2 linked regions of the Arabidopsis thaliana genome follow. The protein of the gene in region 2 interacts with the protein of the main gene of each other region in a pairwise test. Each region holds a gene or a part of one and is shown on either strand. Other genes may lie near its edges.

The links. Proteins that work in one complex are often made in the same cells at the same time.
Region 1: the proteins of AT5G66480 (region 2) and LPPepsilon1 interact in a two-hybrid assay, tested with the Arabidopsis thaliana proteins (one large-scale study listed by BioGRID).

The regions. Positions count from the first base shown.
Region 1 is NC_003074.8:18,922,040-18,925,795, forward strand, and holds LPPepsilon1 (Phosphatidic acid phosphatase (PAP2) family protein), read right to left. Parts: upstream 1,734-3,756; 5' UTR 1,495-1,733; coding exon 1,183-1,494; intron 1,079-1,182; coding exon 853-1,078; intron 768-852; coding exon 694-767; intron 592-693; coding exon 364-591; 3' UTR 265-363; downstream 1-264. Other genes in the region: AT3G50925 (Defensin-like (DEFL) family protein), read right to left, coding at 3,619-3,756. UniProt on the Arabidopsis thaliana protein: Exhibits phosphatidate phosphatase (PAP) activity in vitro. May play a secondary role as PAP in plastids.
Region 2 is NC_003076.8:26,545,256-26,549,011, forward strand, and holds the start of AT5G66480 (bacteriophage N4 adsorption B protein), read right to left. Parts: upstream 1,746-3,756; 5' UTR 1,565-1,745; intron 1,226-1,564; 5' UTR 1,222-1,225; coding exon 480-1,221; intron 158-479; coding exon 1-157. Other genes in the region: AT5G66490 (uncharacterized protein), read right to left, coding at 2,168-2,497; AT5G66500 (Tetratricopeptide repeat (TPR)-like superfamily protein), read right to left, coding at 2,821-3,756.

The DNA of each region.
Region 1 (3,756 bases), on a different chromosome or scaffold from region 2:
CAAGAGAAATAAAGATACAGGACGTTTAGCGTACGCCTTGTGAATAGAAATATATACATATTTGGTTATTGTTTTAACTGTTCTCAAGAGGATGTATAGCTCCGAGTAGCTGCAAACACATTTTTCTTGCGGTGGCATACTGATGAGTGGCAGCCACAGTCACTAATATTTGGTTCGGTTTGGTTCTTATTAACATTCAATGTTAGCTCTAGTGTAAGGTGCTTGCCTTGCTTACATCTTAAAGAAACCTTATTTTTTAAAATCTTGATTTTAACAAACGGGCTCTGAATCCTTCATTTCGATATTTTGAAAAGAATTTGAGGGATAACAATTTTAAGCTTTATAAGTAAAGCTTGGTATTGCTTATCTCTCGTCTTTGAACCAGTTAAGTACAACGTACGCTGCGAAAGCTAGCGCAAATGTAGCTGCAAACAGAAATACAGATATTTGCACTAATAGAGATGCCTCGAAGGCTTCACGAAGAAGCGAATTCCACATTGTGTACCATAAGATGCAGAAAAGAGAACCAACAATGGCACCCACCACCACTTGACTGCTTGTGTGCAGTTTTTGAGAAACCCTTAACCGTATCTGTGATAGTGCAGAGAGTGTGAGATCAATGGCAACTAAATGATTTCATATATGAATGAAAAGCTTGAATCAATTAGGTGAAACTTGTTATAACAGACTTACAAAGTATGAACCCAATGCGAGGATTAAGCCGCTAAGAAACAAAGACACACCGTTGGTTCCAAGCCATTCCATAACTGCAGAAAACACGACTCGAGTGAATCCGTTGTAAACAGTTCCACGATAGCGAACGATGAGTAGTGAACAGCTTAAGCTGCTTACCGGATAAAACAGCAAAGACAGATATGAAAGAAATGGATTGAGCATGAGAAGATGGCATCCCGGGATCAGATCGCAATGTTGTAGTAGGCCTCTCTTGGTTAAGTATACGTTTAAGAACTACAGAGAGAGCAGAATTCGAAATCGATCCAATGACTGCCCACAAGGCTGCACCATCATGTCGCAAAAGAATGATTGAACCAAATAGAACAGACACAACCCATTTGCTCTGTCATCATTAATTAAAACCGGTCAGAAAGAAACACACATTGATACTGAAGAAACATTTCATCGAACACATTGCGTGCATGAATGAGATTTCCATTAACTAACCAGACGATTAACAATGGCTTCAATCCCACCGCCGGTGACCAAGTCTTTCCGTATCTCCGATGAGTTGTTGATGAAAGATTCTTGCTCCAACGCTCCAAATTGTTCGTTACCGTCATTGCTCCTGCTTCCGACTCTGCTAGAGAATCTTTTAACGGTCATAGATCCAAAGCTAGAGACAAACAAAGGAGACCCACGAGAGATAATCGAACTATAGCTCGAAAGTCTCGATCTTTTAAGGTACGAGGAAGAGTCAAAGTAGAAATTGCAGGTGGGACAGTGAAGAAGAAGAAGAAGAGAAGACGACGCTGCCATTTCCAAAAGGAAGATAAAAGTCAACGTAGTATCAAATCCATCGCTAAAGGAAGTAAAATTCGTAAGACGAAGAAGGGAAATATGCAAATCGAAGAAATCAATGTCTGGTTGAGAACAAGAACCTGAGAGAGAGCTTTCTTCTTCAAATCAATCTTCAAAGTTTTTTTGCTCGAAAACGAGTTTGTTATTTGTTGTTTACCTTGACGCATTTTATAATATCGTGACCACTCATATTCTTCCACGTGGCATGTAGAATAAACGGGTAAACCAATATTGAAGCAAATTAATGGGCTTTTGTTTCCTCAGCTGAGGCCCATATATTAATTAAAACCATTCTTAGTTTGATGTAGCATCAGGTGATCTGGAGTGGCTTCATGAGATATATGTCTATGGGCTTAGTTTTGTAGCTCTTTTCATTTAGCTTTTGTACAAATCCTCATTAGTTTGTGCCCAAAAAAAAAAAAAAAAAAAAAAGTACAAATCCTCATTAGTTTAAAAGGCATATGGTTGCCGAGAGGATTTTTTGTTTTGTTTTATGCTTCTCTTGTAAAATGTTGACATGAAAAGGTGAAGAAATATTTACCTGATGTTATAGAAAAGTTGGAATATTGTTGGAATATCACATATTTTTAAAAACTTATTTCATATTTTTTGTATCATTGTGTATATTACAATTAACACATTTGATTAGTTTGTTTAATTAATCTTTTTCATTAAAACATAATTAACGAAAATTATATTAATCTACATTATTAAAAAGAAAAAAAAGTTATCAAGAGGAACTTTTCGGTTTCTTTTCATGTTATTATTTCACAACAAATTTACATATTACCGCTAAGTTATAATGTTTCACGGTCTTTACGGATGAGTTATAATGTTTTACGGAGGAATTAAATATTGCTTCAATAATAGATCAACGGTGACAATGTCGTGTACACGTCGATTTATTCGGAAGAATATTTAAATGTTTCACTTTCAGCGTTTTAGAACAATGTTGCTTTATGTGGGCATACATATATAAATTAAATATGGAGGTCTAAATTCTTTGTTACCGTTTTGTGTAAAGAATCATATCAATTTTTTAAGCTAAACTAGATCTATCGGAGTTTTCTTTTTTTATATACAATTTGGGAGATCTATTAGAGTTATGTGTAAAATATTCATATTTATCCTCGATTGTGGCGATAAATACAGATATACGGTCGCAAGGTATGGAAACTACCGTGGTCACATCAAAGATTTGCATTAGCCAAGTTTTTTTTGGTTCTTTCTCGTAATTCCAAAAAATAAAAAATACTTTAGGACATGGAAAGAAAGAAAGAACGACAAAAAAAAAAAAAAAAACTTTAGAACATGGAAAGAAAGAAATTTAGTATACAATGGGCAGAGTGACGATTGACGCATACCATGGCATGGCTTATCATAGGAGATGAAAACTGTGTGTCGTTTTTGGAAGTAAAATATATTTAATCAAGAGCAAGATGCGTTCATCACACTGTCAAACTCAATCTTCCAAGTACAGTATTGGCAGACATTGATGATGACCTAAAGATTTTTTTTTCAGAAAATAGAAAGAATTAAGCTATCAATTTTAAAACCGATTACGATGTTTTTGCACCTTATTAAATGGGGAGTCGCCAATTATAGGAGCTACTAGTTTGCGTAGAAGTTTATCTCCACTCTATATAGAAGTCGAAACTTTTTTCAGGGGCGATGAAGTGTATGAATGATGCCGACATTTAAGAAGTAACATTTTTTACAGATTGTTTAGATTTGGTAAATATGATGTCTTTCTCAACTGAATGTCCAACATTTATAAGAAATTTATACATTATAAACATTTAAACTTTATACCACGGATAAAATCTTAGAATTGATGGATTTGTATTGATATTAATACATGATTGTGTGCTATAGGTGAAATTAACAAAATCAAATAAAAATATACAATCTTAAACACTAAACAAAATTTTGCCAAAAAAAAAAAAAAAAAAAAAACTAAACAAAATAAACAATATAAAAAAAAATACAACTTAAAATTTGAAATTCTTATTTAATAAATATCGTCTCGCAGTGGTAAACCGCGGATTAATATCTAGTAGTTACTATTTTGTTTATTAAGACTTAGCAATAAAAGGTACATATGCAGTTATTATATCGATCATTAATTGAAGTTATATTCTGACTCCTATTATCATGGCAAACACATTTAAATGGTTTAGGTTTTTTGGTTGATTTTGAAAGGCAATCGTCGTTTCCTGC
Region 2 (3,756 bases):
TGGTCACGGAGCCTCCGCCAATGAACTTGCATTTGCTCTAGAGTCGCCTCTGCCTGCCTCCTCCTTTCGATTTCCATTAGTAAACCCAATCTCATCTCCCTTACCTCAGATTCAATGTTGTTAGCTGAACTCTGCATTCCACTGTCAGTTGATAGTTCTGGAAGCCAAGAAACAGTAACTGAATAAATTAAAACCAGTTTCTTAGATATACCAGTGAATCATGCATGCAGATTTTCTATGTCTTTGGAAATCTGATTCATAACTATCACGAATTCAAGATGACTATAAACACAGGAATCCCAAGCCTAAAAGGCCACTTCACAACCAAAATCACATACTGATATATGCATATAACACTTAAAACTAAAGGAGAAGAGGCTCCAAGAACTGGCAAAAAGTGATGATGCTAGAAATGTCAGACATCATAAGAATTTTCTAGCTATCTCGTGGTTAAAAAAGTTAGTAGGAAGAAACAGTACCATCGCAAGCATCATAAAACTCTCCAACATGTGTAGCAAGACTGTGTGAGCTTTCAGCTCTCTCGAAATCTTCTACCTCTGTGTTACTTGTGAAGCTTACTAATTCACCTGGGTTATAGAAATTTTCAGGCTCAAGCTCCTTGTCTGCTTTTATTCTTACCGGCTCCAATAAGTAACTTTGCCATTCTAAATTACTGGTAGCATTATTACTTCCAATCCCACCATTGCTGATATCTCTTCCCGACTTCTCGTTCAAAAATGTCCCAAGAGGGGGACTGCAATCCCAAACAGGACGTTCATGGATGCCTTGGGTGTGAACACCATTGGTGTGATCCACCGCAATAGCCTCGGTGATAGGAAATGATAGGGATGTGGACTTGCTCAAGGAGGCAGTAGCCTCCACATCTACATTACCACTAATCTTTTCCTCACCAGAGGTTATCGGGTGAGAAGGCCCATCCACCTCAGAGTCCCTATTGAAAAGAACAGGCCCACGAGCTTTGTGATTGATGATATAGGGAGATGGAGGGTAGGAAGAAGGCGAATTGGGATGAGGGATTTCTTTAGTAGTGGCATATAGAGAAGGTGACATCTGAGGACGAGTGAATGTCTTTTCTTTAGGTTGCTTACTTTCATCATTCAAAATAGACGGCTTTGACTGCAGTGTGCTTGGAAATTTACTAGATAAGGACGTCCCTGAATTTAGTGATCTACCCAAAGCGGCAGCAGAAAATGTAGGCATGACTCTGCATCATTGAAGATTTCAATTAGAAATCCACCAATAGGGATACACAACAGCGAGAGAGCGTTGTTCAACTAATAAAGTAATGAACATCGAGAGAGTCGATAACGGATAAACAAAAATCCAAATCAATGTCAAGCAATTAATAACCTATACAAACAAGCTAACAATCTGAGAGTTCAATTTCGGGAAGGAGCAAACCATAGAGTGCGAGATTATCAAACTAATCATTCAACATCAAGTAGCCTAAACTAAATTTAACAGAGATTATCACGGAACCAAGACCTTAATCATCAAATCGAACAGTCAGCAGCTAGCAAAATCACTCGATAGAAATAGTTACCTCGCGACAGAGCATCAATCGGAGAAGACGAAACGAAAAGATCAACGCAGACGGAGGAAGAAGAGACGATCGATTGATGGTAGATTGATATGACATGGTGCGAAAAAAGAGCAAACAGAGATTAGATATATACTGAGGAGGAGAGAAAAAAGAGAAACCTCTTCTCCAAGGCTTTAGTCGCAACAAACTCTTAATTTAAACCTCTTCACCAAGGCTTTCATTCGCAACGACCGCGTATCACGCTGGGTTTTGGGGAATCACCGGAACGGCTGCGTTTTGATGGGGTTTTGTATGTTTAGTGACGTGGCATCTCCTGGTGTTTCGGGTAGGCTTTTGTAGTCATCAGGGGCCCCACTGTGTTTATTCGTAAATTTGTAAACCCAGTCTGATTACTGATAACAAGTAATAAACCGAGAATTTTTCTTACTATCAAACTGTAAACTTAAATTACATGGATTTGTCCACAAAGAAGCAGAATCATGGCTTATGGACGAGCTTTCTACTTTGATGTATGTATGTATTCATCCTTCTTATTCAAATAGAAAGGTATATCACAAATCGAAAATAAATATAAACAACCTCTGTGAAATCTCTTTCTCCGATCTATCTGTAATATATGGCAGGTCCATTTGAAGTGTTATCCCAAACACCTCCTTCCTTGACATACTCCAAGTACCTAGCGAATTCTGGTTTTGCAGTCGTCGTGCTCTTCTTCTTCTTCTTCCTCTTTAGACTCATTTCGAAGAAACTAAATAGAGGGTGAGCCGAACCCCTGGTTTTCTCCACCGGTTTATTCACCTTCGGGGATTGACCATGGGGATTTGTAGGAACGCTCTCCGGTTTCACTTCTAAAAGCCCTGCGCCTGCTTCTTCTTCGTCGCCGAGCTTCTTGTAGCTGCCTCGAACCTTCCTCGTGCTCAGCGCTCTAATCATTATTTCTTGTGGTTTTGATCAATTCTCTCTGGTGATATGTTTTTAAGAAAGGATAGATTTTGAAAAGGACACATCTTTTGACTTCTCTTCTCCTTATCCCAACGACTCCTTTAACTTAAACCTTATGTGACATTGCCCTTTCACCTACTACTATTCGTGGGTCAATGCTACTTTATTTTTGACTATGTCTTCTTTGGTGTTTGACTTAATTAGGACAACGAGACAGTTCCACAACAATGCTTTAGACTTTAGTGGACTTGCTCTGTTTCTTGACACAAAAACAGTAGCTCAAGTGTAGTGTAATGCTGAAAAAACAAAGCAATTCATATGAATAAGCTGTGTCCTGCTGTTTTAACCAAACCTTTATTCTTCAGTTTTCCTCTCAATTCTTCAACGACATCCCACTTCCCCATCGCTGCATAGAAATTCGAAACCAACACATAAATGCTCGCGTTCTCTGGACCCGTCTCTTCCATAAGCCTCCTTGCTACATATTCGCCTCGCGTAAGATCCATATTAAGACTACAAGCACTGAGTACCGCTACCCATATAGCACAAGGAATGCTTTGATTATCGTTCTCCATCATTCTCTCGACTAATCTCCATATCTCTTCTGTCTCACCAGCCTTGCTTAAGATATCGATGAAGCATACGTAATGCTCTGTTCCAGGAACCAACCGATACTTCTCCTTCATCATACCAAAACATTCCTTACCTTCTTTAACTAGTCCTGCGTGTGCACAAGCCGATATAACAACAAGAAATGTCACTGAATTCGGTAAAACTCCGCTTCCTTCTTCACACATTTCCCTGAAGATTTCAAGAGCTTTAACCCCATCCCCATTAACCGCATACGCATCTATCATACTCGTCCAAGAAACCACACTTTTAGATGGAATAGCTCTGAAAATAGTACGCGCTTGCACAATCTGACCGCATTTTCCATACATATCCATTAAGCCATTGCATAGCTTAGAATCTGAAACGAAACCATTACGTAAAGCGACACAGTGTATCTGTTTACCAATCCACAGATCAGAGTTATCAGAGCAGCCAGCAAGAGAGCTACTGAGCACTCTCACATTGGGTCTCTGCCTACTCATAAGCAGAAACGCTTCCTTGTAATTTCGGTTTCGAATGCAACCTGATATCAAAGAATTCAACATCACCTCGTCCGTATGAACATTCAAACTGTTATAAACCTTCATGGCTTCATTGATCAAACCTACACTCGAGTAAAAACTAATCATTGCAGTTCC